2 linked regions of the Rhinolophus ferrumequinum genome follow. The protein of the gene in region 1 interacts with the protein of each later gene in a pairwise test. Links are inferred from orthologs where the notes say so. Each region holds a gene or a part of one and is shown in the gene's direction. Other genes may lie near its edges. The genes, in order: UROD and LRATD2.

Region 1 (15,907 bases):
CCACGCAGGCCATGAGGGAAGTGAGGGGGTCAGTACAAGGGCTGTGAACGCATCAAAGCAACATGGAACCGAGCTTGGAGGCCAGGGAAGGCGTCCTGGAGGAAATGGCATCTATGCTGAGATCCAAATGATGTCTGGGGGTTGGCTGGGCCACAAGGAAGCCAGGAGAGAGAACATCTTGGAAAAAGGTGGAAACCGTAAAAGGCCTGAGGAATCTGTTTGGCTTGAACCTGAACATGAACTAAGTGCTCATGGGTCATGTATGGCCTTTTCGGATTCTGTATTTTATCCTAATCCTAGGGCGGAGCCATCGAAGGGTTTAAATGAGGAGAGTAAAATGAATTACTCTGGTTGCTGGAGATCAGATGGGTAAGAATAGAGACAGGGATACTAGCATTTGTAGTTAGTGGTTGGGTCACAAAGGAAGGTGGCCTGAACCAGTAGTGAGATGGGAGTTGTGACAGAATGTGGGAGGTGAGGGAGGAGTGAGGGATGAACCTTGGCAGGGGGAGGGTGGGTAATGGTGCCATTCTGAGACAGGGCAGTAGGATAGGGAGGTGAAGCGTATGCTGAGCTTCAGGTGCCGTCATGTGGCACAGGTCCAGCAGGCACATGCATATAGGGCTGGGGCCGGAGGGAAGGATTTACGGGGTCACTAGGATAGAGACAATAGTTGAAACCGTGGGAGTAGATGGGACTGGAGAGGGATCATGTGTGTGGTAAGAGAAGGTTCAGGACAGACTTGGGGAACAGCAACCTTCAGGGACCGAGCAGAGGACACGGCTCCAAGCCCTACTCACCAGCACAGAGTCCACAGCTGGGAAGTCCTTGCTCCAGCTCACCTCCTCACCAGAGAGCTGCTTCCACACAAAACCAGGCAGAGCCAGGACCTGTGGGACAAATCCTCACTACTGTCTGCTGACCCTGAGCTGCCCACGTTTGGCTGGCTCTTCTTCCTTCCAGGGGCCAGGGCTGACCTGATGGGGTGTAGAGTTAGGCTACTCACCAGGAACTCCTTACCCCGAAGGGCAGCCCCCATCAGCTGTCCAATCCACTCGTATTTGGCGAAGTCTCGGCAGGAGGGGTTGGGCACATACATGTCCCGGGCCTCACCTGTGCCATTGCCCTGCCCCCGAGACAGAGCTGTCAGCATGGCATGGGATGGACCATACTTTGTTGCCTGAGATTCCCCAAAACTTTCCTGAACATCTTCCACTGGGAACCCTGAATGATCCCTCTGTAGGTATAATGGCTCCTCCCTCCCTGGCTGCCCAGAAGCTGCCCAGGCAACTCAGTCCCTATTCTGCCCCCTCTAGCTCAGCCTGGTACCTGGGAGGTTTGCAGAGACAGAACAGTAGAAGTAACTTGGGAGGTAGAGGTGGGAGATTACCTGGTTGGCCGTGCGCACAAAGAAGGGCAGAGGCACAGGGGTGTCTGCTGAGCTAGGGCACAGCTCTTCTGACATGTCTGCCAGGCTATCCCGGAAACCACCCCCTGAAATGACAGATCGATGCCCTCAGCAGGGGGAATCTAGAGTCCCAGCCCCCGTAATGGAGGAATAAGCAGGTCCCCTATCTTGGTTAGCTGGTGACCCCAGAAAGCTCCACCACTCTAATTAAGGCAGGACACTTATTATCCCCCCATGGCCTCACCTTGGTCAATGATGCCTTCTGCAATGAATTTACACTCCCACCACTGATCATAGCGCATGGGCCACCTGTAAGTAGGGATGGACCTGTCATTATGCTGGGCCATGTCTTGGGACGTTTCGCCAGCCCAGACACCAGCCAGGAGTAGGGGCTACAGAGCGGTAATGAAGGATGTGTATGTGTACATATCTGCTCTGAGCAATTCCCTCACGCTCATGCCGTACCTGTAGTCCAGAGGCTTTTCATACTTGTCAGAGGGCTTGAGGCCTTCATAAACCTGGGGGCAGGAGACAGGGGAGGGAGTTGTAGAAAAGTCAAGACCTGGCCCCACTCTTGCCCAAAGACCTTGCTCAGGACCCTCTTGGCCCAGCCCCGTAGGCCCCTTACTACCCTCCCTCAGACCAAACCCAGGTAGACCAGACCTGGGTGAAGACCGCATTCTTGGAGGCAGGGTCCCTTAAGGGGCAGGCACGGTGTTCCATGGCAAGGCGCCGGTTGATGTACAAGCGTGGCATGAAGCTGGGCTTGCTGCTTTCTGAGTCACGCAGGCACTGGGCCACCAGGCCTGGCCGCTGGCGTGACAGCAGCAGGAACTGCTTCACTTGCTGATGAGAAAAGGAGGCCAGAGCAGGACCAGCAGGCAGTCAGCCTCTGTCCAGGCCCTGGAACCTTCTTCTACACCTAGACTGAATTCCACCATTCCAGTCCAAGCCTAGCCCATCCCTGTCCTTGCTGCCAATCCCCTAGTCCAGCCACCAGGGGGAGCTTTCTAAAACAAAAACGTCCAACTTGGTCATTACCTTCCTTAAAATCTTTCCTATGGCTCCACTCACCTGGGACAAAGCCCCTGTTTCACAGCCTGGCCCACAGGGCTCTCTGCTACCAGGGACTGCGTCCTTCCCACCCCCTTCCAGCCTCATCCCCATCCACACTCACATCTACCTGTATGCTTCTCTCACCTCTTCTATTGCTGCCTACTAAGTCCCAGTATGTACCTTTTATGCAACCTCTTCGTATCCATGCTGTCACCTCTCCTCCCCTAGCTCTTGTGTATTTCACACACTATCTGGGGAATAGCACCCCAGCAACTAAATTTTGACTGTTTGTGCCTGGCTTTCTTCTTATGTACCTAGAGCCCAGCAAAGGTTCAGGACTTTAGGTTTTAAGAACTCTCTGCTGAAGAGTTAACGACTACATGAGCATAGAGGGGAAAGCTACTGCCAAGTCCAGCACTGGATGGGACAGCTCACCTTAATCTCACTGAAGGTGCCCAGCGTGTGGTCCCAGGCAGGTACCAGGTGGTGCAGGACGCTGTCTAGGATCTTTATGAATCTGGGTAGGTGGTAAAGTAACTGTAGCTAAAGAGTTTAGCATGGATGCAAGACCCCCTCAATCCCAACACACAGGGATAGGAGAAGCCAGGACCAAGGGGCTGCTCTGACTTTTCAATTGGAACAGCTTACAGTATAAGACCTTGGGGACCTCTTCCACATAGACACACAAGGCTCAGAATGGGGGAAGGGAAGGGTCGGGCAGGCCCAGGACCACAGCTACCTCTGCAGGAGAACAGCTCTGCGGTATAGTACTTCCGGGTCAGTGCCTTCCAGGCGAGGATATCGCACCAAACTGGTTGGCTGGAACAGGTCTGCATTCAGCCCTAGTTCCCGCTGTCTAGATGACTTGATCTTGACCCCTCGAAGACGCACATCAATCCCATCATCTGGGGGAAGGAGTCGGAGTGAGGTCACGTACTGTGCCTGCTGCCTCCTTGGCCACCCTTAGACCTGAGAATATCTCCTAAATGCTCAATCTTTTGTCTCCTTTTGCCCCTAGACACGTGGGACCTTTGGGATCACCTTCTACTTACCTGATTCTGATTATTATATCCTTTACTGTCTACCACTGTAATGTTGGAGTGTCTGAGGGTCCCAACTCAGTTCCTCTTCCAGCTGAGCCTAACCAACCACCTCTGTGGCTTTAAGGCCAGTCTATACCCAGCACATTTCACCCAGCTCAGGCCCCACAGCTTCAAATCCTGGAGTTAGTTCAGCTATCACCTTCACCTCAACTCCAAGCCCATCTGCTTCTCTCCACACTCATGGCCAGCTAGTCCCCATCTACACACTGGGCTCCCTTTACCTCCTGATAGCCTTAAGCCCCACCTCGGCACTCGACGATTCGGATCTCAATGATTGGGAGGTGGACAGTCATGTCCTCCAGGACACAGACGTCCCCGATCAGGGTCCTGAAGGAGACAGATGTGTGGCACTTTGGGTACCCTGTGCCTTCAGGGATTGCTGGGGTCTCACCCAACCTTCCAAGACAGGCAAGCCCCACCTCCCACCCAGGCCAGCTTGCTCACTCGTCAATGCTCACGTCACTCAGCTTCTTCAGGTTGTCCCCTTCGCCCCCATAGACCACCACCCGCTTAGGCATAAAGTTGTCATCTGTGGTATCGACTGTGAGTAGCAGCTTCCTGGGGGGCAGAGGATGCACATGGGTCTCTGTACACTCACAGACATGTGGCTCACCTACCCTGTCCCACTCAGAGCCCACTCACTTGACAATGGTGCCCTTTTTCATGGTAAGCCGCACCCAGTGCTGGCACTGCGATCCATCACTCTCCCAATAGGTGTCTGCATTGCTGTCTGTCAGGCAGGACACATTGAACTCCTCCTGGGGAGGGGCAGAAAGGTGGAATCAGTGTTTACCTCCACTCCCTGCACTGGAGGTGTACTTTGGGTCAGGCAGCACAAGAGAGAAAACATCAGAGCTGGGTAAAAAGCGCAGCTGGTATGGGTGGAATTGTCTAGGGGTTCCTATAGGATTTCCAAGATGGGGGGCTGGACTGAGTCTGGCCTATGGGGATTCAGGTTTAGCCGTTGGTCTAGAGGTGAGGGTTCCGGACCTAGCAAGATGTGACTACATCTTCCTTGGGGTGGGAGGAGTCCCAGCACCCACCGTGTAGGAGGAAACGTCTATGCTCTCCACATACTGCTTCACGCTACCCAGGTTCTCATCCTCCTTGCCCAGGTGGTCGTACAAGAAGTGGATCAGGTCCTCGTCGCATTCGTAGGTCCACGTCGGGGGTACATAGCTAAGCAACCCCAAGTCCCTAATTAGGTCGGGCCCAGACCTGGAGCTCCTTCCTCCCCATCCCATCCCAGCTCACTCACAGTAGCCTTTGTACAGCTTCTGTGTATGCCTCAGCGGGCTGAGGCCTCGATCCGAGGCGATGTGAGTATGTCAGATCTACCACCTGTTCCCATCTGTGGGCAGAGAGTGGGGGTGGGATGGGAAGACATCAGTGGGCAGCAAGACAATCCCAAGCTCTGGAACCTTACCCAGAGCTCTATCTCCAAACGGCGCCTCGTGAAGCACCCCCTCACTCCGCCCCCTCACCACTGTTCCCTTCAGGCCCCGCCTCTTCCTGCTCTAAACCCGGCCTTCGCTCCATATCCCACCTCCCAGGCAGTGCCAGACTACTTTCCAACCTCTGGGGGCGAGGCCCAGACAACTGGTAGCAAGCCCTGCCCCTTCAAGTGCAGGACCTGAGCAGTGGGCGGTAATCCACACCGAAGAGCTGCTGTTGCCGCTGGAGGTGGTCGGGAGTGTCGATGGGTACAAGGCGGGCCCCGCCCTCCGCCGGGCGGCATACCAGCAGCCAACCTTCCTCCAGCCCGCAGTCGCCCAGGTGCTCTGCGAGCTGCTCCTGCCGGGACGCGCCAGATGGGGACAGCCGTCAGGAAATTGCCCAGCGGCCCGCCCTGCCCAGCCCAGCCCAAGTCAAAGGACACTGAACGCAATGCCAGCTCAATATGAGAAGGAGGGGAGGGGAACAGCTAGGGGCGTCCCTGGTACCGGGGGTCTTCTGCAGGGCCCAGGGCAGGCCTGGGCGCACCTTGGTCAGCTTCACACAGAGCCCGTGGCCGTTGCACAGCTCCTCGCCCGTGGTGCGTACGCAGGCGCCGCGCCGGAGCTCGATGCTGTCGCGGGCCGCGCGGAGGGGTCCGGAGCCAGTACCCGGGGCCGGGCCCGGGGCTCCCACACGCAGCCCCAGGCCCTCTGCCTCCCACACCGGCAGCAGCACTCGCGACGGGCCCGCCGGATCCTTGTAAAGCTTGTAAAGCACCTCGCGCGGCACGAAAGCCAGCGCCGCCGGCAGCGGCCGTCCGGCGCGGAGGTTCTGCGCTGCCTCCGCCAGGAAGCGTATTCGGCCCAGCAGCTGCCGCGGGGACTCTAGGGCCGCGCCGGGGCCCGGGCCTGCCATGTCGAAGTGTCAGAAGGAAGACTACTGGCGACCCGGCTCTAGGAGAAGCAGCCGTGAAGGCTGGTCGAGCTTCCCACCACGCTACGCCCCGCCTTCGGCCAGCCTTTACCGTAAGTTCTGGGCTAAGTGCACCCCACGCTCCCGCCGTATTGCCCTGTGTACTCGGATACTCATCTATATTACCTACCCCTGTGCCTCCCACTCGGCCAACCAGATCCAAGTCCAGTAGTTTCTACCTGATCAACTTACTCCTCCTTGTCTATTCCTATTTCTATTACCATTTTATTCCCACTGTTACTACCCTCATTCAAGCCGCCATCCTTTCCAGACTGGTTCACTAGAACCTCTATTTTTCTGGTCCTGGCCTCTTGTTTTGCTTCTCCACCAACAAGTCATACTACAACCAGAAAAATCTTTGAAATTTTCTAGACATCCTCTTGGGCTCCCCGTCCTAGGGACCATGTGACTAAAATGTTTGGGGGACTAACCCCCTCCCCAGCCCTGCCACTGACAGAGGAGTTATTAGTCAGTAAGGCTTGAACAGGTAGTTATTCCTGATCCCAGAACACCAGTGATCATTATCCAGTTTCTCCCAGTAATTCTGAACCAGATGAGAGTAAAAGCTAAGAAGGGAGGGGAGGAGGCAAAAAAGGTGGACAGGTGCTGTTGGTGAAGTACAATCATGGAGGAAAAGGAAACTCCCCCCCCCCCGTTTGAAAAATTTTATTGAGATATATTCTTATACCATTCAATTCACCCAAAGTGGACAATTTAATAGTTTTTGATATATTAATTTTAAAAAGTGAGGTAAAATGCATACAACAAAATTTGCCATTTTAACTTTTTAAAAAATTTTTAAGGAGGGCGCAGCTCATGGTGGCCCATGTGAGGATCTAACCGGCAACCTTGGTGTCATCAGTACCACGCTCTAACCAACTGAGCTAACTGGCCACCCCCCATTTTAACCAGTTTTAAGTGTACAATTATCTATTTTCAAAACTTTTTTTTAATCACCCAAACAGCAACTCTGTATCCTTTAAGCAGTAACTCCTCATTGCCTCCTTCCCGCTGCCCCCTAGTAAACTCTAATCTACTTTCTGCCTCTATGTATAATTTCCCTATTTTAGGTATTTCATGTAAGCGGAACCACACAATATTTGTCCTTTTGTGTTTGTCTTATTTCACTCAGCATAAGTTGTAGCATGTATCAGAACTTAACTTCTTTTCATGGCTGAACAATATTCCATTGTATGTACATAGAACATTTTGTTTAGTCATCTGTTGATGGACACTTGGATGGAAACTTTGTTTTGATATAGTTTTCAAATAATTGAAGTTATCAAGAAAGAAAGAATAAATGATCCCATGTATTTTTGACAGCGTTCCATTTTTTTCTCTCTAGAAAACTGGGAACCCAGTGCTTCTCTTCCCTTCTTTCCATGCTATTTCTATGCTATCACACTGTTACAGGATAAAGTGAACACATGTACTTCACAAGGGCCTGCATGACCTGAACTCCGTACATCTCCAGCCTCTTTAATTCCACCAGATTGATCTCCTGGTTCCGTAGTAGCCATTTGCTCTTTAGCCTCTTTGTTTTGTGCATACTGTTTCCTCTGCTTGGAACACCCCCACCACTTTCCCCAATTAAGTGGGGAGCCTTTGCTAGTTACTTCTAGCTTTTTCCTCTTAAAACATTTATTGTTGTGATTGCTGATTTCTATTTCTTCAACAGTCTGTAGAGGAAGGGGCTGCCTTGCTCACCATTGTAATTTCCACAACTATTATAGGCTCTTCTATGTCATACAAATATTTAATGATTTTAGTTCCTTATTCAGCTTGGTTCCATACTGCATTGTATGCCTGGCTGGCCAGGCATGAGATTGGATTGTTAGAATCATGGACAGTGGGAGTGAAAGTAAGACTTAGGCCGAGACTTCGGGATTGTTAGGTCATCAGAGGAGGGCAAATTCCTCATGCCATGGTCAGGTGTAGTTAGAGCTAAGTTATTTTTAGGGATGTTTGTTGCTGCGTCGCTACACGGGTCTTTACGGTGAAGTGAGGTAGGGGGTCCTAACGGCAGCAGCTAGGGCAGCCCGGTAGCTGTTGCTGGAGTCTGATCATGTGACTTTCAACATGGCCACCACCTTGGCTCAGTCCAGGAAGGGGCGGAGCCTGGGGAAGGAGTAGGCTAAGATTCAGGTTAAAGTAGGAATTGGCTCGCAGTTACAGACATCTTATCATGGAGGCGAACGGGTTTGGGTGAGTTCTGCGCACTACGCGATGTGGCCAGCGGGGCTTCTGATCTGAGTCTTCCAGCTCAGGGATCTGTCCCTATATCGCCCTTCCCCGTGGAGAGCCCCCAACCTGAACCCCAGAGGCTCGAATTCCGAAAATCCTCTAATCATGGATTCCCGAGACCTTCATCCCAGGGTTCACCTAGCTGGACTGCGTCCCTCAGATCTTCATTTAGGAAGATGCCCCCAGGACTTTCAAATCCTCAACTAGGACCCCTGTTTCGGAACCGTCAACTCTGATCCCTCCGTGACTAACTCCCAGACCCGGAATCAGCCCACTTATATTCTCCCGTTCCTGTTGATTTTCTGGTCCAGAGACCTTGGAACTATCCTTTCTGGGCTTTCTTTCGCCCAGCCCCCAGTCCTTCCAGTGGCTTTGAGCTGGGGGAACCTGGGACTGAATGTAGAGTAGAGGCCCCTGTTGGGGCCCTTCTATCCTTGTGCACCACCTGATAGGCAGAGAGGAGGCAGAACCGGGTGTGGAGCCACAGCGTGGGAGCTGGTCTGGAGAAAGCAGATAACGGCACTGGACTGAATCTGCCTTAAGAACCCGAGCCTTCCATAGTTTACTGACACCTACCCACCCTTCACCCCCATCCCAACCCCCCATCTCCAGACCCCAGCCTTTTCCGGAGCTGAAGAATGACACATTCCTGCGAGCAGCCTGGGGAGAAGACACAGACTACACTCCAGTTTGGTGCATGCGGCAGGCAGGCCGCTACTTACCAGGTCAGGGTCAGGGCCTGGGAGTCTAGGTAAAACTCTGGAAAGAAAAAAGTTTTTGAGGGGCAGTGGAGGGCTCTACAGGTTCCTCAAGGTTGAGATTTGCCTTCCTTCTGTCTACAGAGTTTAGGGAAACTCGGGCTGCCCAGGACTTTTTCAGCACCTGTCGCTCCCCAGAGGCCTGCTGTGAACTGACTCTGCAGGTGAGGGGTCCACAAAAGAGGGAGGGATTTATGCCCCCAGCTCGCTACCTAGCAACCTGTCTTCTATTCCTTATAGCCACTGCGTCGCTTCCCTCTGGATGCTGCCATCATCTTCTCCGACATCCTTGTTGTACCTCAGGTACCCACTCAAACTTGATTCTGGAATGGGTGAAAAAGGGAAAAGACAGTCATGGTTCAAGATGAGCACTTATCCTCACTGGGCAGAGGGAAAAACAGGCTGGAAGAGATGGGGTTTGGCTGAGCTTTATTCTTTTTCTCTTTCCTGGCATGGGCTGAACAGAGCCTTTCCTCCGGAAGTTACAGGTTGGGAACACAGATGTTTTCTCCCCCTCCAGGCGCTGGGCATGGAGGTGACCATGGTGCCTGGCAAAGGGCCCAGCTTCCCAGAGCCATTAAGAGAAGAGCGGGATTTAGAGCGCCTCCGGGATCCAGCCATAGTGGCCTCTCAGCTGGCCTATGTGTTCCAGGCCATCACCCTCACTCGACAAAGGCTGGCTGGGCGTGTGCCACTGATTGGCTTTGCTGGAGCCCCGGTAACGTGGAACAGGGCAGGGATTTGGACATGGGGAAAACACTCTGGCAGGTCTGGTGTAGACAAGGAAGGAAGTGTCAGTCTGGCTTCTACACCTGTGACATTTCTCTTTGTATCCTTTTGTAGTGGACTCTGATGACATACATGGTTGAGGGTGGCAGCTCAAGCACCATGGCTCATGCCAAGCGCTGGCTTTACCAGAGACCAAAGGCCAGTCACCAGCTGCTTCGCATCCTCACTGATGCTCTGGTACCATATCTGGTGGGACAAGTGGCTGCTGGTGCCCAAGTGAGTCCTGAAGGAGAGACAAATGGGCTGGGGTTTAGTGTATAAAGAGGACAGAAGCAACAGAGTTCTCTATACCTGAGAAGGTACGTGTCTTAATGGCAGGCATGAAAGAAGCTTGGCCTGCAGTGATCTGGCTGGAGCAGCTAAGTCCACCCTGACACTGGCGGGGGCTTAATGCTTTGTGTGTTCAAAGACCAAAGCTAGCACTGGGATCTGTAGGAAAAGGCAAAACTCTTTGACTGGAACTGGGTTTTTACAGGCTTAGGCAGTATGAGGGGTTGAAGTCACTTGGGGAAAATTGAGGCACATTCTGGGTGTGGGGCCTGAGATACTTCCTTTTTGTGTGTCATGTATTTCTCTTCACCACCCCCTAACTGTAGGCATTGCAGCTCTTTGAGTCCCACGCAGGGCATCTAGGCCCACAGCTCTTCGGTAAGTTTGCACTGCCCTACATCCGTGATGTTGCCAAGCGAGTGAAGGCCAAGCTGCAGGAGGCAGGCCTGGCACCAGTGCCCATGGTAAGAATGGGGATGGGGGGAGTGAAGGTGTGACTGGAACTTTCAGGATAAGTCCTGTATGGACTGAAATGACCACTGGAGGGCAGCAGAGGTAGGTTAGTGGGCATACTGTAGCAAGGCCCTCTGTAGCCTCAGGGATTTGCCCTTTCCCCCAGATCATCTTTGCTAAGGATGGACATTTTGCCCTGGAGGAGCTGGCCCAGGCTGGCTACGAGGTGGTTGGGCTTGACTGGACAGTGGCCCCAGAGAAAGCCCGGTAAGTAATGGAGGGTGAGGTGGAGCAGGTGCAACTGCTGTTACGTGCAGTCACCAGAAAGTGGCATTGACTCTGCTTCCAGGGAACGTGTGGGGAAGACAGTGACCTTGCAGGGCAACCTGGACCCCTGTGCCCTGTATGCACCTAAGGTAACAACCAGGGTCCCTATATGTGTCTGTGAGTTTGTCTCTGTGCACTCCCATGGCTGTGGGTATGATTGTGTTATATTGTGTTTTTATGTCTGTTTGCCCCTCCACTATACCCCATACACACCATGTGAACTCTAGGAACGCAGGAATTTCTTTTTATTGTTGTTGTTCATTTGTGTTAGTGCCTGGCCCATCCTAGGCATCCAGTAAATTTTTTTGAATTAATGACTGAATGAGTAACAGAGCGGAAGCATGCCTACACGTGTGTGTGCCACCATTGTGTACAGGGAGGACAGAGGCTTGCTGGTCCCCCTATAGCCAGTGCCCTGTTGGTCCCCCAGGAGGAGATCAGGTGGCTGGTGCAGCAGATGCTGGATGACTTTGGGCCACAGCGCTACATTGCCAACCTGGGCCATGGACTTTACCCTGATATGGATCCAGAACATGTGGGGGCCTTTGTGGATGCCGTGCACACATATTCACGTATGCTTCGAAAGAACTGAGCGTACCCCTTCTCCCTCAAGTACCACTAACACAGATGATTGTTTCCAGGGGAATAAAAGTTCCAGAGTCTAGTATGTGGTTTTGTTTGTGAAAGATCTGTGCCCTTATCCACAGTGCCTTCTTAGCCTTTGCTCCTTCCTTGGGGCCTCTTTCTGCATCCTCTCCCACAAGTCATGGAAACTCAGATCGTAATACATACTGTAGAACTTAAGTCAGGGCCCTTACCACCCTCTTTCCCTTAGATCTCCAAGCCCCAGAGTTACATGGGCTTGGGTAGAGCTTCCTAACAGCCGTAGCTGTGACATTTGCAGAGAAATGGGGTCCCCACAGCTTATGAGGCCAAAACAACAGGGTTTGTGTCTGGGGAGGGGAGAATAGATCAGAGAGGGGCACAGAAATGGCTAGAATACTTCATAGAGGCCTGTCAAGGAAAATGGAATCTAGATAAGCAGGGAGAAGCTGAGAGGCCTTCTGCTTTGATACAAAAAGATGGCAAGACATAAAGACTCACAGCTAGGTTGCTTAGGATTAGAACCTTAGACTCGCATCATTGAGGCAAGAAGGCCTCTGAAGCCAAAAGGCCTGTGGTGCCTGCTCAAGGTTGTTCTGCCTTCTTTTTTGAGCACGTCCTCTCATTTTCTCAGGATCTTGGTGTTTCTGCCCATCATCATGGTACCTACTTCCTGGGACAAGGCTCTGAGCTGCCTGTGAGCTCTGGAGAAGGGTCTGGTGTGGCAGGAAATTCTTCATTTGTCATTCCACATCTCCTTAGACCACTAGAAACCCATTGTGCTACAGACCTAACCAGTCAGCAATGGAGAAGAGAGAGAAGAGCCCCATTTATTGAGAACACAATTTCTGATTTTAGAAAAATCTTTTCTGTGATCCATGATTTATTCATAGAAAAGCACTGTGAGTTCACTTGCTAAAAAATGGCAATCGTGATACAGAAATGGGAGTGGCTTCTTTTTTTCTAACCAACCTGTTGGGCTAAGAGGTTGTAAGGGCCCATGGCTGAACAGTAAGACTTCAGTAGCCACAAACAGCAGATACAACTTACTGGTTAGTGTGGAAAGAGGGAGAAAAAAAGGTGACAGTTTGTTAGAAATGAAAATAAAGCAGAGAGGTCTTTCGTTCACACTCTAGCTATACCACCCTTTCCCGATCACACCCACCCCCTACTTGGGAACTAAAACATGAAACAGTAAACACCAAGACACTGGCATCCAAATGACTTCTGAATGCCCTTGCTACCTCCTATAACAATTCCAGGCTGAGCACAGGGTCAGGAAGATAGCAGGAACATCATACACTAGAGGTCAGCCAAGGCTAAGACAGGTTGCCCACTAGGGCTAGAAACTAGTTAGAAAGGGAAAGGCCAAATGCATCCCAGCCCTAGCCTCCAAATCAGCAACCAATGGAACCGTGACAAAGCAGGCAGAGGAAGCTTGAGGTAGAGAGGCAGGGGAGGAAAACAAGTTCAGGGTGAGAAGAAAACGAGCTGAAGGAGCCACTCAAGGTAGAAGGGGACTAGTGCTTACAAGCTTGTTAGGTGAGAGAGAATGGTGAATAAAGGAGACACAGAGATGGGGAATGTGTTTAGCTGGTGAGAGAGACTAAGGAATGGAGAAGAGAGATGGGCCATAAAGAGAAGGGACACATTCATGCAGATCCTCAAACATGAATTCACAGACATACCTACATGTTGAAATACACAGTTACACATATAAAGACAGATCAATGGAGAGCAGGCATACACACAGACACAAACCTGTTTATACATATGACCTCGTGTGCCCAGATACACACAAGGAACACACATATGTAGTCTTACATGTTCACAAATGTGTATACCCTCGCACAGAAACCCACAGTACAGCACACAGACATGTATTCACACAGACACAGATACACATAAATATATGCACACATACAGGCATGCACAGATGTATTTATGCATACAGGCATGTACTTAGCCATAGAGACACACGCACATACATGATTAGAGAGAAAACCAGTCACTCCAAGACAAAGGTGACCAGAATAGATGAATATTATGAGCTCAGTGGCCTCCCAGAACTTGACTTTCTCCCTGCACTTGTTCCTCAGGAGCTCAGCAGGCTCCTAGAGGCTGTGAGGCCGGAGCAAGAGCTTCAGCGTCCTCGTGGCTTTGGGTGGCAAAAGTCTTAAATCCAGTCCTGGCTCTGCCTTCACCCACCTCTGGGCTATAGGTGCCCGTCTGTAGGCTGGGGTTTCTGCATAGACTAGACTTGGGATTTATTCTAACTGGCCATTTTTCTCCCTGCCACCTCCACTCTTCCACTGCCAACAGCTTATACTCTGTAAGGGAAACCTGAGAAATGGTTGTGAGTCTCGTCAGAAAACAAGCCTATCTTCCCACCCACAGCTATTTCAAGTACCCATCAAATTAGAACCAGGATTATAAATAGTTACAACTTTACAATGTAATTGGCAACACATATACTATAATATTTACAGTACCATAAACGCTTCTGTTTCTCTGGTTAAGCAATCCCTGAGACGGAACAGTGTTCTGTATTTGCCAAGGGAGAGATGCCCAGGACACGCAGGATATAGGGGCGTGAGGTGGCATGTTGTAGTGTTTCTGATCGATCTGCAGGGCCCAGCTCCTCCAGGAACAGTGGGCTATAGTGAGAACCTTGCCAAGGCAGGCATATTGGCTAGAGTTGGACTCTCCCCATGCTCAGCCGTGTGGTCCTTTGGCTTCAGCCACAGGTGCTTAGAGTCCTCTCAGGGTGGACAAATATTTCAGTGTCCTTGGCCTGACCTGATGGTACCTGGGAGCCCAGGCTGCCCAGCAGTGAGCTGTCTGCTTTCTCAGCCAAAGCGCTCTCGCACCAGCAGCATCAGCTTCTTCTTGCCTTTGTAGATTTGTTTGAGGTTGTCGATGAACTGGGCAAACTGCAGGTGGCCATCCTGGGGCAGCAGGAAGGTCTCCCGAGCCTTGCTCAGAAACTCAATGAACTCTCCATAGTGGCGAGGGCTGATGTGTGTCAGGCGTGAGTGTGTGGTGTTGATGTAGGCATTGATGGTGGCATCCAACAGCTGGCGCAGTGGAGCTTTGTCAGTGGACATGAGCTTTCCAGAACTGCGGCGGCCTGGGATGCCAGCCAGGCCAGGTGCAGTAACTGTGCAGCGCCGCAGGATGTCGGAAAGCACTGTGGCACAGTGCACACTCTTCACCACCAGGGGGATGAGGGCTGCCAGCTCATTCTTGCCCAGAGAGTGGCTGAGGGCACATGCCCAGAGCACATCATTGATGGCCGGGTGGGTGTCCTGGTTGTAAGCCAGGTTGAGATGGCTCATGGCCAGCGAGGCCAGCTTGAAGGCACGGAGCGGGTAGCCACGGAGCTCCATGTAGCGGGCGATGGTGAACAGCTGCGAATGTGTCATGCCACCAGCGGCGGCATCAATGGCGATCTGGTAGGCTGCCTCAAAGGCGATGTGGTCTTTCTCACAGAGTGTAAGGGCTGAGAGGGCACAGCTCTGTGGATCCTTCATAGCACACTGCAGGGCCAGCGTGCGAGCACAGCTAGCCAGCTCCTCCCGCTGTGGATAGTCAAGACTGAGGCGCAGGAGAGTGGTGTGGGACACGGCTGTGGCGGCCACAATGCTAGTGGCCTCGGTAGGGGTGAAGAGTGTGTACCAGCTCTGCAGGATGCTCACCAGGGCCCGCACACCTGTCGGGGACAGCCTGAGCTCAGCCGTGGCCAGCCGGGTCCCGAGCCGGGTCTGCCCACATTACCATGTGGGGTCAGAACTTGGCCTGCAGAGACGAGTTTTCCCTCCTCCTCAGCAGCCTGGAGATGAGCTGAGGCACACCAGGGCAAAGGGAGCTTCCCGGATGGCCAAACCCTGTTAGGGGTCTCTTTCCATCCCTTCCTTCCCAAGGACAGAGGATTGAAGGTTTCAGCAGGTGCTCTTAGCCCCTCACAAGGATGGAGCAGCAGAGCCTGTGGCTTGCTTGCCCCAAGGCAGGGGTTGCAGACTGGCCTGGGGGTTCTAGCTGAAGTGGGGCCTCTCGGGGTAGTCTTGTGCTGGGGCTTTGGGCTCTAGATGGGGTCCTGAGTCTCCAAGTTGTTTGGGGTTTCTCAGAAGTATGGACAGGGACTGGGACCAAACCACCAGGCCAACTACCTCCCGAGGGTGGACTTGAGCACTGGTGGTTGGAAATTCCTTCTCAGACATGTTTCTGATCAGAGGGTCAAAGTGCTGCTGACATCAGGGTATAGTCCAAGCAGAGAGGGCAGAACTTAGGCTGGCTGAACAGAGGCCATCTTCTACCAGTAGCCCCATCCTTTCTTAGGCCATCAATAATAGGAATATCAGAGCCCTAATGATTTGCTGTCCTGTCCCAACAGTAGGGCTTAGGAACTGCTTCACCTTGGGGGTAGAGGGAGGTGGGAGACTCACCCACTTCCGTAGCACATGTCACCAACCACCGCACCATCTCCC
Region 2 (15,800 bases), on another chromosome or scaffold:
GGCAAGACTGGGTTTTAGTCCCTTTGGATAGCAAGTGAGAACCATGAGTGACATAAAGTAGGTATTCAAGGATTCCTGGGACTGGACTGCCAGGCACAGGGGTGACTGCCTCACGGCAGTGGTGGACATTCAGCCCCGGCTACAGGGACCAGGACAGGGCTGGACCAAAGGTACATCTCACCATGGAAGAAAGGGAGAACTCCATCCCATCTTTCTCTCGCGCAGTCCGGTCAGGTGAATTCATTGGACAAACTGGAAATCAACCCCCGATGCTACGAACGGTAACAAAACCCTTTCTTGATATTTGTTCCCCTTAATAGACCCTTATTGTTTTCTTCTTCTTCTCCTTCTCCTTCTTCTTCTTTTTTTTCTATTTCTTCTCCTTGATCCATTCTATTTCATCAGCCTCCTCCTGCTTTCACTTAACACCTTGGTTTTGTGAACTAAGGTCATATTGAAAGTCAAAATCAGTTTTTGAAGAAGTGTTTCTCTTGACCCTTACGGAATGAGAATATTGGGCTAATACAAAGAAGGATCCATTTACTCAGTACATATTTGTTAAGCATCTGATGTGTGCAGGACGCTGCACTGGACAATGGGGTAGAACAGTGATACATCAAAGTCTGGGCTCCTGGAGAGACAGGTAAAAATGAGTACAGAAGCAAATACAGTCACTATCGATGGCAGCGAGTGTTCTGCAGGAAACCAACAGGCTGAGGACGTGGGAGGTGGCGAGCCAGCTAGTTGTAGTTCGCAGATCCCTCTCTAAGGATTTGACTTAATGGAAGGCATTAACAATGCAAAGAATTTAGGTTTGTGAAGAGTGGGATGCAAAACATTCAGGCCCAGGGAACCCTCATGCCAAGACCTGAGGCAATCCTGAGCTTGGTGTGGACAGGGAACCAAGGACTGCTGTGGCTGGGGCATAGTGGGCCATGGGAAACTGGGAGGAGAGGGGCCAGAAGGGTGGTGAAGAGGCAGACTTATGAATGAATGCAAAGGTGATAGGTGATGGCTTCATCACACCTGGATGGGCCCAAAAGGAATGTGGGGTGTGAATACAAAGGAACTCAGCCATATTGGTTACTGTCTGGGCAAGATGGACGGCAAGAGGTGACCGCGACGCCCTGGCATGATCTTATATTTGACTCTTGGCTCTGCAAATCACTAGCTGTGTGGCCACAGGGAAGATGTTTACATTTACGATTCCTCTGCTTTCTCATCCGTAAAATGAGGATAATAATAACGCCCACTCCATTGGTGAGGATTAGAAGAGTGAGCACATACAAAGCTCTTGGAATGATGTTTGATACAGTCAACAGTCCACGTATGTTAACTGCTACCATCGTATGTATTTGTGTTATTACCACTTTCATGCATTCTGTCATCTGAGGTGTGATCCTCAAGCTGGAAGTCTCAAAAACTCGACTCGGTCAATCCACTGAAAGTGGACAGACCCAGCCCATAGAGTCAAGATGAGGAAAACCAGCTCTCCAGCTTACTGACTGACGAAAGGAAGTGTAACCATCAGGTCAATCCGTCTTTTTTATAAGCATGTCTATCTGAGAAGCCAAATGCCTCTCAGAAGGCTGACGAGTTAACAGGGAGTAGAGGGAAGAAGAACATGCTCGATAACCTTCATGGTGGGTGTCCTGCTCTGTCAGCCTCATCCACCTCCATTATACTGGGAATTCCTCGTCCACAGATCCAACTCTCAAGTGTGTGTCGGGGGCTATCAGCTTGAAACTGGAGGTGCTGAAAACACACCACCCAGGGAGGCCCCTTCAACCGTTCACTGGCTTTTCCTGGAGATTTACTGTCCTTGGAAGAGACATTTAGTCTTTAGGTATTGTCTTGGGCAGCTCCGGCTGCCGTAACAAAATACCACAGACTAGGTGACTTAAACAACAGACATTTTGTTTTATTACACTTCTGCAAGGCCAGGATCAGAGTGCCAGCAATGGTTGGTTCTGGTAAGAAGCTTCTTCCTGGTTTGTAGATGGCCACCTTCTCACTGTGTCCTCACAAGGCAGAGAAAGGAAGCTCTGGTGTCTTTTCCTCTTCTTCTAAGGGCGGTAACCCCATCATGGGGACTTCCCTTTCATGGCCTCACCTAAACCTAACTATGTCCTAAAGGCCCTGCCGGCAAATACCATCACATTTGGGGTTAGGGCTTCAACATAGAAATTTTTAGGGGGGCAAAAAATCCAGTATGTAACAAGTATGTTCCTATCTTTGGAACTTGCTGATACATTTGCATATCTTTGCTCTTAGCCTTATAGGAAAGATGAGGTCACTGAACTCTTGCCCTCAACATTCCAAGAAGTAATATTCCTTGAAGACAGAGATGCAAGGTTTAATGAAAAGAGTTACAAGAGCCAAATGCAAAGCAAATTACACGTATGCACGTGTAATTCAAATTTTTATAGTGGCCACATTAAAAAAAGGAAAAAGAAATAGGTACAGGTGATATTAACTTTAATAATATACTTTGTTTTACTCATAGACCTAAAATATTATACTTTCAACATATAATCAATATGAAAAAGTGACTAAGATATTTACTTTTTTTTACTGACTTGGAAATTGGTGTACATTTAACCTTTATGACATTTCAATTCAGATGAGCTACAGTTCAGGTGTTCGACAGCCACACGTGACTAGCAGCTACCATGTTGGGCAGGGTGGAGCAATAATTTCTTGGTGAACTGAGCTGTTCCTGGGCCCGCCTTCTTAACCATTCTGAAACTCAACTGCCTAGTACAGTGCCTGGCGAACCACAGGTATTTCATGAAATTTATAATTCCTTTTCCCAGCTTTAAATTGCAAGTTAATCCTATACCATAAAGCTATTGTGAGGATGAACAGAAGTGGCTCATGCAAAGTCCTTCTGTGTTTTTATATAACTACAATGTATCGAGCCTAGCATGTACCGTCAAGTACCGTTCTAGGAGCTGGGGATACCTCAATGAACAAGGATCCCTGATTTCATAGAGCTTATAGTCTAATTGGGAGAGATGATAAACAACAATAAATTAGTAAATTATATGGGATACTGAAAGGCGGTAAATGAATCGATTGATAGGGATATAGAGCGGGAAAGATGTTAAGTGTATGGACGAGAGGACACTTGGGATTTTAAATAGGGTTATCAGGGAAGGCTCACCAACAAGCTAACATCTGAGTGAAGACTTTAAGAGCACGCCATGAAACTATCTGGGGGAAAAGTATTCCGGGCAGAAGGAACAGCAAATGTTAAGGCTCTGAGAGAGAAAAGCATGCTCACCATGGGGAGGAATAGCAAGGGGCCTGGGAGACTGGAGGTGTGAGTGAGGGGGTGTCAGAGAGGTAATGCGGGAGTGCAGACCGGGGCCCTGAGGGCTGTTTTAGGGCCTTTGGCCTTCTCCAAGGGAGATGGGGAACCATGGAGTATTTGAGCAGAGGAGTGACCTGGCTTGGCTCACAGTCTCACAGGATTGCTGGGGCTGCTGTGTGGTGAACAGACAATAGGGGGTGAGTGCTCTATGGGGATCCGTTGGCCCCAGGCCTAGAAGTGGTTTGGGGAAAGCAGACAAATTGACCACCCAGATTTGTTGAGCCCCGTGTCCCAATTCCTGGGTGGTTGCTATGCCTGATCTGTCCTGCAGAGAGCTGTGCTGAAAAAATGTCTTCTTCCCTCACGTGGGAGTTCTTCTTCCAGGAAGCAAGAGGAACGCCCGAGGAAAGAAAAGGAGGTTGGATTTGCTCTGCCCAAGCTTCTCCCATTATAGTGGCCTTGTCTCCTCTCGATCTCATCCTCCCCTTCTTGCACAAGGAGTGCAAAATAAGATTCTTAGAATTTAGATTTTTTTCTTGAAATCCCTACATCTGGATTTGCAGATATGCCAATATTTGGATTTGTCAAGCTGTAATTTAAGCCTGTCTCTCCCCAGGAACCGCCTGGTAGAATGCATCTTTCATGAGGCTTCTGCAGGCGCTAGCTACATGCTCAGACTCAGTAGCACAAATCAAACTTGGGTTCGACCTCAGCAATATGATGTCAGGGGCCTCCTAAAAGAGCAAGCCTCTGGGAGAGACTGGCCTCGGTATTTTCTCACGGGTGAGCCCTCTTCCAGGAAAGGATTCAAAACTGCCTCACAATTTAGCCATGACATGAATGCATGGAGGGCTGATGGTGTCGGGTAGGTGACAGCCTCAGACCCCTTCTCAGGGCATCTCTGTCACCCTCACTTATAGGTCAGACTAGCGCTGGCCCAGCCTGCTTGAGAGAGCCTGCTCTGGTGATCTGAGGGGAAAAGCAGATAAAATACAGAGACCAAAGGAAAGGATGCCACTTCAGAAGCCCCTGGGCTCCCTTCGTTAATCTGAAGGTTTAGGAGAAACACAGCCCAAGCCCAAGACAGGCCGGCTGGGAAGGTGGAGAAAGCAGCTGCAGGATAGTTCCTCTCCAAGGGGAGACGGCCCAACCCTCACCTCTTACGTGAGGAGTACGATTAATAAAGGGGGAAAAAAAAATGCCCGAAGCAGGTTTCCCAGTATAAGGGAGGTATTATCTTTTGTATTGGCTGGCCCTGGTTATGCAGCTGCTGCTATATGTATAACCTGGAAACGGAAATGGGGGCCTTGTAAGAGTGAGATGTGGACAAAAACACCTGACTCTCCTATTCCCTTCTTTTCTGTTCCACCCCGGCAACGGCCTCAGCTCTGAGTCCATGAAACTCTTGGTCAGGGAAGGCAATGACCAGGACAGGGAGGCAGCCAGGTAGGGCAGCCAGCTGTCCCAGTTTGCTGAGGACTTTGAGTTCTAAAACCAGGATAGTCCCAGGCAAACCAGGACAAGTTGGTCACTCTCCAACCCAGCCCCTGGTCCTCAGGCTGGCCAGTGGCTGAACAAACACATATGCTGGTGATCCTGACGCAAGGTGACACAGCATGGAGCCAGGCAGATGGGGATTTGAATCCAGGTCCTCCCACGTAGAACAGGCCAGATTCACATCGCTGGGCTTTTGTATTCTTACCTACTGGTAGGAATGTAAAAAACAGGATGGGTATGATTTAGTAAGAGGATGCCCACAACACATGGTCAGGCTTTTGCTCCCGCATTAAGACCGTCATGTGGCTCTTACACGCTGTATAAATAGTGCTTGGCATCCACATCGCCTTTAGGATTTCAAAGGTGCTCCCGCATATACTGTCTCATTCGAGGATTCACAGTGAGGCAAGAAGTATCAACGGCCCCACTTTACAGACTGGGAAAGGAGGCTCAGGGTAGAGGAGAAACAGCTCCAAGGTCATGTACTTCGCAAACAGGACTCCTACCTGGGACATCTGTTTCCATTCTGCCACCTCACCCCTCCTCAGGTATCGACAAAACCCCCGGAGCGGGTAACAGGCGCAGGGAAGTCTAGTTCCCCAGTCTAAGGGAAGTATGAAGGAACCTGTTTCCCAGCAAACTCACCAGCTATCTGCTGCTGCCATGGGCCTGGGGCCCTGCCCAGGGGACAGGCAGAGTTCCAGATTGCCTAATCACATAATTCCGCCCTCGTGCTCCTGTTTTGTACATTCTTGGAGCTAATCATCTAAACCGAGATCTCTACCACACATGCACACTCAGTGCCCATGTCTCATCAGGTAGAAAATGTCAATTTTCCATTATTCCCCACGGTCCCGGGCAGGAATACTGTGTGAGTCACTGACTGGCATTCCACACAACTTGTTTTGATTGGGTGCCTTCTCTGAGGAGGTATGTGCGTTGTGACACTTGGGTCACTGATAGGGGATAAGGTTACAATATGGCTGAGAATTCAAATCCAACTGGCTTTACTGTGGCTGGTCTTTGGGGAAGGTGCCTTCGGGGCTTTGACCTTTGGTCACTAGGCTCCATCTGTGTGGAATGCCTTTCTGCCTCACAGCCTGGCCTTCTATGGGGTCCTGCCTCCTCTCTCATCCCTTTACAGTCCGTTTTTCACAGGGCAGCCAGACTGACAAACTTAAAGCCCCAAAGCTTCCCCACCTCTCCAACTACAATTAAATAAATAGAGGCAGGCATTTCCATAGGTGCAGATAAGCTAACATAGTGATTCTAACAAAGGTCTGTAACCTTCAGTCCAACAGTCATGACAAACAGTTGTTAGGAATACAGTGTTGCTTTAGGCCCAGTCCAAAGGTTATTTTGCCCAGTTTTAACATTCTGAAGGTTTGAGGAGTAAGACTGCAAGGCAGTCCCTTTGGGATGACAGCTCTGATTCTAGTTTGAAGTAGCTCTGTTTATATTATTTTTCACAGTGGTTTCCTTAGTAGATCCTTGTCCCAGAGTGAAGGCTGCAAACTGTCATACTACATCCTTCTAGGGATTCTCCTATCACTAGCCAACCTACCCAGTGGCTGACGTCAGCAAAGGTCTCCCAGTCTAACAGACATGGGATGACTAGCCTTTGCCTTTCTAAGCCTAACTCCTCCCTGCAAAATGGGTACCTACATGAGTTCACAGGGTACTGACAAATACCATTCGGGTAACAGCAGCTCCCTGAGCATGTGTTACCAAAAGATCAAAAGGTATTGGGGGGGGGCACTCATCTGGTCACACTTTCCTAAGGCTGGTCTGATGAAACTTAAATTTAATCTGCCCAGCAGGTACACAGAAGTCTCCTTTTGGTCTAACACACAGTGATCTTAGACTTGCTGAAGGACCACCTACCATCACAGCTCTGCCAATATTGATTGTTCAGGCTCAAAAGTACACAGTGAATTGATTTAGTTTTTCTGAAACTGAAAAGGATCAGAGTAGTGTTAGTACATTTCTGTTTCCACTGATTGGTATACACACTGAATAAATAATAGTGTTACCTGGAAAAACTTAGTCAAAAGAAACAGTGATGGAAAATAGGGTTAAAAGAGGTCTTGAGTTGCATTCGTAATTCCATCTAGCTTGTCTATTGTCAAACTTCCACCTCCACACATATCTATGTGGTTTTGTTTGTTTGTTTGTTTGTTTTGCAAACACAAAGAAAGAACACTTTGGTAGCCTACATCTTAGATACAAAAAAACGAAACCAGCCTGGAGAGGGGAGGAAGTGTCTTCTGGAGGTGTAGGTTAATAAGCAATACTCCTCCCCTGTCACTTCCTTCTGTAAATCAGCAGGAAGGAACTATATCTAACAGGGGCCTCTGCTAATTTGTTCTTAATTTAAGGACAATTAGGCAATTCCTACCTCCCCTGCCCTCAAGAAAAACAACCAGAGCTGAATGCTTCCTCTCACTATGGGACCAAGTAGTAACTCGAAACAATGGAGGTTATGAAATCAACTTTGTGCTCATTTCGAGGGACATCTAATAAACAGAGCGCAGTTCTTGGAAGAAAGCCAGTGAATAAGACTTCCTTCTGTTTTATACTGTTTCTTTTTCTGTGGATTTTTTTTTCCCTACAGCACTCATTCTGAAAATACCTCTAAACGGATGCACTTCTTGAGCCGTCCCAGAAAAAAAATCTCTTCTGTGATCATTGGCAAGAAATAAGTTCTAGGGAAGAAAATAAGTCTGTTTGTTTCCGAATGACTGTTCCTCCTGCTCCAGGTACTGTGGCAAAAAAGAGGCGAAGGAGAAAGAAAACAAACAGCAAACTCTTACTCCCTCTCTCATTTGTATACTGTCAGGTAGCTTTTGCCTTCCAACTTTATAAAGCGCCCAGCTCGGAAAAATGCGAACTGAGCAAGCGGTGTGAACCCCACAGCAGGCCCTTGCTCTAAGAAGGCAAGCGAGTTTCCCCAGTGGCCGCGACTGACACCTGCGGTCAGACTGCCAGCCCAGCCGGCCTGTAGATTATTTACCAGCGGGATTTAAACCCGCTCCAGCGTGGGGGCGTGGCCTGGGCGGAGTCCCGCGGTAGGGGTGGGCGGGGCCGGGCCGGGGATCCCGGAGGCTCTGCGCCGTGTGGGAAAGACCGAGGCTTCGGGAGCGGGCGCCTGTCTCTTTAAATGCCAGGGGCTGCACTCCCGCCCGGGAAGCCCGGAGCCGGATCTACAATCCCGTCCCTCCCGCTCCGGCGCTTGTTGCTCGTCCAGCCTGAGCGGGAGCTGCGACCGCCCGGCAGCTAGTCTGCTTCCTTCTCCTTCTTTTCGCTTCCTACCTTCCCCGAGAGCCGGTAGAGGGGGAGCAGTAGACTCAGCGGGAGGGAAGAGGTGCCTCCCACCTTCAAGTCTGAAGGCTCTACGTAGCCAAGGGGGCAAGACATGCGTCGCTCCCCCCTATCCAGCCTCGCTGCCGCCCACGTCTGGAGAGGAGGAACTGAAAAGCCCACACCTGCAAAGTCACCCTAGAAGTCTCAGGGTGCGGCCTGGGGCCCCTCCCCGTTCCCCAGGGCCTCCACCTCTTGGCGGGTGAGTTTGCGCAGGTAACCTGAGCCAGAGGGCCGGCGCGCGGGGGAGGGGGGAGGGACCAGACCGGAGGAAAAAGCGCCGCAGGTGAGCCAGGTAGGGTGGCTCACCTGCTCGGACCGTGCTGTGCGATCCTTGCCGGTTTCTTCGGGGCAGGAGGCGGGGTGGGGGTGGGGTGTGTCGGTCTCAGGGACTAACTTAAGGGCCCTAAGGAGAAAGGGGCGTTAGGAATTTGGAGACTGGAGTAAAGTTTCTCTTCCTTACCCTCTCCTGCCTGGGCTTGGCAGGTAGGGCGCTGGCGGAAGCGGTAGGAGCTGCTGCTGATGCAATGGGCATTTGCCGGAGCGAGATGAAGGGCTGGGGGCGGGGGAGAGCTAGAGTTGCCGGCCTCCTGTGACCATGACCCTAGAGGTGGAGAAATGAGGGAAGGCTCACTACATCCGAGACTCCCCTTAGAATGATTCCAGGTGCTCCACCCGATCTTTTCTTCCTCTTCTTAACAAATCGTCCTTTACGCGGAGACTCTCCTATATGGCTCCCTTGCCTTCCTCTGCCAACAGGTGGTCTCATCCCCTGTCCGGGAACTTGTGCCAATGACCCTAGTGGTGCTTTCTGTTTCTCCCCGTTCGGCGTTGTGAACGTGTGTCCGCAGCGTGATGGGCAACCAGGTGGAGAAACTGACCCACCTAAGTTATAAGGAAGTTCCCACCGCCGACCCAACGGGCGTGGACCGGGATGACGGGCCACGCATTGGGGTCTCCTACATTTTCTCCAATGACGACGAGGACGTAGAGCAGCAACCGCCGCCCCATGGGTCGGATGGCAGTGGCTTGCCTGACCGTGGGGACGGGCTGCCATTGCCCCCACCCCAGCCCTACGATCCGCGGCTGCACGAGGTGGAGTGTTCTGTGTTCTACCGCGACGAGTGCATCTACCAGAAAAGCTTCGCGCCGGGCTCCGCGGCTCTGAGCACCTACACACCAGAGAACCTGCTCAACAAGTGCAAGCCTGGCGACCTGGTGGAGTTCGTGTCGCAGGCGCAGTACCCGCACTGGGCTGTATACGTGGGCAACTTCCAGGTGGTGCACTTGCACCGGCTTGAGGTGAGCAACAGCTTCCTGACGGACGCCAGCCAGGGCCGGCGCGGCCGCGTGGTGAACGATCTGTACCGCTACAAGCCACTGAGCCCCAGCGCGGTGGTGCGCAACGCGCTAGCGCACGTGGGCGCCAAGGAGCGCGAGCTGAGCTGGCGTAACTCCGAGAGCTTCGCCGCCTGGTGCCGCTATGGCAAGCGCGAGTTCAAGATCGGCGGCGAGCTGCGCATCGGCAAGCAGCCCTATCGGCTGCAGATCCAGCTCTCTGCACAGCGCAGCCACACGCTCGAGTTCCAGAGCCTGGAGGACCTGATCATGGAGAAACGGCGCAACGACCAGATAGGGCGCGCAGCGGTGCTGCAGGAGCTTGCCATGCATCTGCATCCGGCCGAACCCGAAGAGGGCGACAGCGACGCTGCGCGGACTACGCCGCCTCTGGAGCGCCCTCCTGCGCGGGGCCAGGATGGAGAGGACCGAGAGGCGGTCGTGCATTGACCCGCGAGCTGAGTGCAGAGCTGTCAGAGGTAGCTGTTTGCAGCAGCCGCTGCCCTCTCCCTCTGACTCCCTCTTCCACCATCTTCTGGGCCCCATTTGGGCTCCTGGGCCATTTGGAAAACCTAGAGTGGGCGAAATGCGCAGCCATCTGTGGCTTGAGCATGTTATCTTGGACAGGAGGAAGAGGGAACAGGTAGGAGCTCTTTGGTTGGGGGCACTTCCTGCCTGCCCCCTCAGTCAGTCTTCCTTTCTGAGATGGGACAAACTGTGGACACGCCTGACACTAATCCCTGCTGGACCTGGGTCCAAAGTTGACTCTTCATATGCACACAGGGGTGGAAAAAAGTTCCAAGTACCAACGCCTGCCATTATTGCCCCTTCCTGCTTCCCTCCTACCTTCGGTTTGGAGGATGCCCTGTACTTAGGCCAGGGTGGGTTTATTGAGGCTCCTGGCCAGCACAGAGAGCTGCTTATCTGCTTCCCCTGTGGAGCTGTGTGTGGGATCCTGGAGGCTGGGGTGATTTATTTTATGGGATTCCTGGGTGCAAGACTGGAGAAACCAGGACCAGGTCTGGGAGCACCAGACCAAAAGCAAACAGCCGCCTGTGAAGTGTAACAAATAGTTGAGTAAATTTGGGCTACAAAACAAAGACTTTGCTACCTCCCTCCCCCCTGGCCCCAAGTAATTCATCTTCTGGAGCTGGCTTCTACCTGAGTCTCCTGCTTCCTCCTCCATCCGCCACTTTCCAGGTTGCAAGTAAATCATTGTCATGGACCAGCTAGGGGAAGGGTTCAGTGATGGTTCTGTTTGGCCGCCTGTGTTTTTTGCCTGTTGCTGTAGGCACTTACAGCTGTGTTGTTTGTTATCTAAGGAGGGACCAGCCCTTTGTGTCTCTGATCTAATTAAACCCGATCGGTTGTGTTCATCTGCAGTCCTGCATGGGGTTGGCAGGTGCCACTCCTAAAGTATCCACTACAGAAGCAGCCAAACAGGGTTGCCCTGGTGGGAATTAATTAGTCAATTACTCCCACTCCCCAGTGAACTCCATTCCTGAACCTTTTTCAAATGGAAGACTTTGGTGGTGGGCCTGTGAATTTTCATTTTTCCTCACCGCCCCTTCCCTCTCACTTTTCTGCTGCTGGTAAAATCTTAGGCTTGAGGCATATTTCAGTAAGTATTTTGGTAGCCACACCTGAGGCACACTTCCAGCTGCAAAGTCCTGTTACATGGCAGCAGTCTCCTTGTTGCTCGGAGAACACCCGTTCGGAATGCTTTCTCAATTACGAGAGGTGACAGCAATCTCAAGTGCCACCTGGTGTAGTCAGTGCTGAGTCTGGTGACGGTCCTGAGGCACAGTTTAGTGACGGTGGGGATCTGTTGGCAGCAGGCTTGCTGATACTATTTGGTTGTGCTGCTGAGCTTCTATTTGCTTTCCTAGGAGACTTTAAAAAAAAAAAAAAGTACAACTTGTCTCTTGTATTCACGTGAGCTCTTTAATTCTGTGGGGCCTCGATCTCAGAAGGCACCTCAGCTGCTCATCGGCGTGGCTCATGCTGTCTCAGAAGTTGCGTGAAGTTGTTCTTTCTCCCGAGAGTCATTAGTGATAACACTGAACCCGCCATTTTGTGACCTAAATCTTAAGAGTTGGAGTAGAATCACACTGGAATGTTCTACAGCCATGGTCATCCTTGGGCCTCCTGCCTAAACAAATGTCTAAACAAAGGCAAGAAGACTTGAAGAATTTTCTCGTACACTTTTTTCAAACTTGGGAGGCAAGGCCATCCTTTTTGAAAAGCCTCCCTAGCACCTCAACATGACATTATTTCATTACAAGGGCATTAGCTATGTTTCCTGTTTGTGTCGGGATCACCAAAGAGGTCCTATTGTTGTGTTTGTTAAAGATGAACCATCCTCAGCCCTAGTCTGCGACTTTCGAGAAACATCAGTGTCCTGCTGGACACGTAGCTCTAGTTTATATAGATCTCACCGCCTTGTGTTTATTTTCTTTTGCTCATAGAAACGTGGAATGAGATACACATGGGTAAAGACATTAAGGAGAGCCTACTCTACCTACAGATTTGGATCTTCTCTTATGCTTAACACAGTAATGAAAATTGAAAGTAATGACCAATGTGCAGACAGCAGGAAGGAAAAAGAGCAAAACAGCGCTGCCCAGCAGCTCTGGGCTAGCTAGCCAACTCTTTTCCGCTTTCCCATCTCTCACCCTTCTTTGCCCTCAAATGGAAAGTGAACGTCAATGGTCACAGAGGCATAGCAGTGCCACCTGTTGTTGCAAATGAACTGCTTTTTGTAAGAAATCTCAATGTGAAGGAAGAACTCCGGTAAGATTTATACCGACAATAGCATTCTGTCTCTAGAGAAGTGGTTTTTGATAACTGGGCTTGAGAATGACCTAGAAGAGGAAATAGGTCTACTGCAAACACTGCTTTCCCATGTAGAGCCAGTGTTTTTACAGGTTACCAGAGAGGTGAAATGTGTAATACTTAGGAAATTCCACTGGAAGATTTCTTAGGGTTATAAAGCTTCAAGTGAAGCAAAAACCAACCAGTGAAGGTGCCAAGAAAAGAGAATCAAAATCAACTCTTGGCTCTTTCCTCAAGATGGCAGTGTTGTGGATAAGTGACTTTTTAATGCCAGGCAATGGCGACATCTGGCACTTTAAAAAATATATTTGTATTTAATGATTTTTATTTCTCTTTAGGATTAAGACTTCAGAATTATTTTTTACTGTGAATTACGGATGTTCTTTGAAGGAAAGAAATAACAATTCTAAAGTTCTTCAGAAGCTCTGGCAGGGCTAGGCAGGACGCCTGACCGGAACGTATGCTAAATGTAGTCAGACAAATTCTATTTTCTTACTTGAGCAACTATTTTATTGAGACTGCTTATGTATGTCAAAGGAGCCCTCAACTTCAGCTACACAACTTTTTGTATTGAAAGAACACAGCTTTTTGTAGTTCTTATTCCACATTTAATTTAAAATAACTTTATAACACTAAAATGCCTAGCAGAAGACTGTACTCCAGACCTTTGAGGAAATTATTAGTTTTTATGAAAAATGACACGTCAGTGGTTAAACTTCTCATGTCTTTGGTGCTTCTGACTCTAATAGCACTACTAGACAACACTACAACCACATGGAAACATATTTTTGGAAGCAAAACTTTAATTTTATACTACATATGCTATGGAGAGTGAAGAAAATTTAAGGACTACTTGTTTTCTATTTTTTTCTTAACAAAATGGAATCCACTGTGTTGAAGACTCTTGATATTATGTGATTGTCTAACCATTTTTTATAAATTAGCATCAAATTTAGTCATGGTCACTGAATGGATTTGTTTGGAAAGTTATATTTTATTTATGATTGTTTTTTTTTAATCAGGGTAACTATAAACTTGACTGGTTATTCAATGTTTCATTATGTTGTTTTGTTCTTAGCTATAATACTTGTAACCCATGGAGAATTACATTGACTAACATAAATTCCACACATGTATTTTATTTCCCATTGAATTGTGTAAATTTTATTTTTGTTGAAGATTGTATGTTAAATCAATGTTATGTTCTTATACCACTTCTTGAGAAGGAGATACTGATTTGAAATTGTATATCATTTCCTTCAAAATGAAGGGCATTGCTTAGTTAAATAAAAGATTGATGACATCTTTTAAACCATTTCCTCTTCACTATGTCTTATTAAAATAAAATCTGTCAAGTCCTTTTGAGAAATGCTATGAGGGTTTCCAATAAACCATCTATTGGTGTTAACTGAATTTTTATTATATATATATACACACACACACACACAGATATATATATATATAATTTTTTTCCCCACTTATATACCTTTTTCTGCCATTTTTGGTCCAAGTCCAAGCTATTCAACTTACCTGCAGTTTATATATATATATATATACACATATATATACACACACACACACACACAAACATACATATATACATACACACACACACACAAACATTACATATATACATACACACACACACACACACACACACACACACACACACAGTTAGTGTGTATCATCTTTTCATTCCTTAGTAAACATTTTGATAAATTCACTTAGTGACTGAAAGCCCTCCCTTGCCTTTACTATGTGAGAATTAATGACCCATTACTTCTAGGCTATCAGTGTTCATAAAAAAACTCTCATGAACATAAATTTTGAATACACATTGATTTTTCAGAATCAATGCAAGCATTGCTGGAAAGCACATTCACATTTTGGAATCTATGCTGGGGTGTTTTGGGGTGAAGATCAGCAACCCATGTTGCATCTTAGGTGGTTTCCGAGTCCCAAACAAAGGGAATGGGCTCAGTGAGTAATTTCATTACAGAAAATGGGCAAATGTGATCACGTGGCACTGTTGTCAGTGATAAAGGAGCAGCTGTGGCGTCTGAGACTTATGTGGGAGGTCATCAGCACTCCCTAGGCCGACCCCTGAAGCCGCTACCACAGTCCTGTGAGGTTCAAAAGCCTGAGCTTAGTCAACAGATTCCTGTGAGAATCTTAAACAGGAGGAAAGTTGAATGCAGAAGGTTATAGGGAGCTCAGGGAGTAGGGAGACCATTGTTTCCCTAGAGTGGGAGTCTTTAATTTATCATGGTTCTCATTGCACAAGAAAGTAGAGGGAGAGAAGCCTAATCCAGAATGTGTCTTTATTCTTGGGTGATTTGGGTGTAGTCTGCTGTTCTCGTTTCTCCTAAGTGGACTGAGCTTGCTCAATGAAGGACAATGACGTATTTGGAAAAATTTAAAAGGAGCTCCACAGTAAACAAGCCTAGACTATGGGCAGAAGGGCTTTTGTTTCCTTTTCCTGAATGAATTGACTGACAAAAAAACTACTGATGGAACAAATACAGCAATTTCATCTGCAGAGTAGATGCAAGAAGGGTTAGTGTCTGCATTTGTAGTCACAGCAAGGTACTGAGTTATCTATGAAGGGGTGAGAGATGCTGAGCCCTAGCCTAGGGACATCTAGAAGTCAAAAACAAACAGCCTGGAGAGACAGTCCCTGCCCCTGAGCTTGTTTCTAAGGGGAAACAAATTTCACTCCTGCATAGAGGACAGATTATAATAAAAAGTGGCCCTATAAACGCCGATGGTTGGTAGGTATTCAAAACAAAGCAGATGTGTGTGGGTTGACTTGGAGTACTCCCATTGGAGCAATCAGATGAGAAATCTGAAGGTGCAAATGATGATGGAGAATAGATGTAACTAATATATTCACAGGGTACTTAACTAGGAGGATCCTATATTCCCAGTGCCTACCATAGAAAGAGAAGCCAGATCCATAGTTTTTGTCTTCAGTGTAACTTACATTCTAGGTAACCACCAAAAAGAAATTCACTAGAAGGTATGTAGTTACAGTTGTGGTAGGTGCAATGAAGGATACGTACAGGGTGTGTGGGGGAGCACCTCTCTATCTGAGTCAGAGAAGGGTTCCCTGAGAAGTACCATTTCTGCTGAACTTTGGAAGAGGTAGAGGAGAAAGAGGTGGTTTAGACTGGGCACGGTGAATTAATTAAAGGAGGTAGGTTGGGAGTGAATGAAGGAACAATGAGTGCTCTGAAATGGCCTTTGCTTCACGCGCCAGGAGTCATGTCTCCATGAGGTTCTCTTCCACAACATGCTAACTCAGTCATGCATCTCCAACCCTTAACGCAGGACCAGGCAAAGACACCCTCATTCAGAGTGTGAGTGAGGGAACGAATTTGGGGTTGGGATTTGCTAGACTAGAAAGCCTTCCTATTCTCTCAAGGTGATCTCATGACTACGGTTTAAAGAGGGT

Evidence for each region.
Region 2: the proteins of UROD (region 1) and LRATD2 interact in binary tests that used the Homo sapiens proteins (3 or more experiments, as listed by UniProt). The two-hybrid records come from large-scale screens. The link is inferred for Rhinolophus ferrumequinum from reciprocal best matches to the Homo sapiens genes UROD and LRATD2.

What each region holds. Positions count from the first base shown.
Region 1 is NC_046292.1:31,912,184-31,928,090, forward strand, and holds UROD (uroporphyrinogen decarboxylase), read left to right. Parts: upstream 1-8,025; 5' UTR 8,026-8,161; coding exon 8,162-8,181; intron 8,182-8,832; coding exon 8,833-8,945; intron 8,946-9,062; coding exon 9,063-9,142; intron 9,143-9,218; coding exon 9,219-9,281; intron 9,282-9,498; coding exon 9,499-9,696; intron 9,697-9,821; coding exon 9,822-9,983; intron 9,984-10,363; coding exon 10,364-10,501; intron 10,502-10,656; coding exon 10,657-10,757; intron 10,758-10,839; coding exon 10,840-10,906; intron 10,907-11,247; coding exon 11,248-11,409; 3' UTR 11,410-11,484; downstream 11,485-15,907. Other genes in the region: E3 ubiquitin-protein ligase HECTD3, read right to left, coding at 801-890, 1,007-1,126, 1,391-1,494, 1,653-1,717, 1,874-1,926, 2,072-2,254, 2,900-2,981, 3,204-3,369 and 7 more; ZSWIM5 (zinc finger SWIM domain-containing protein 5), read right to left, coding at 14,270-15,132, 15,866-15,907. UniProt on the Homo sapiens protein: Catalyzes the sequential decarboxylation of the four acetate side chains of uroporphyrinogen to form coproporphyrinogen and participates in the fifth step in the heme biosynthetic pathway.
Region 2 is NC_046297.1:62,833,858-62,849,657, reverse strand, and holds LRATD2 (protein LRATD2), read left to right. Parts: upstream 1-7,904; 5' UTR 7,905-8,375; intron 8,376-8,443; exon of another isoform or gene 8,444-8,468; intron 8,469-8,932; 5' UTR 8,933-9,028; coding exon 9,029-9,961; 3' UTR 9,962-13,661; downstream 13,662-15,800.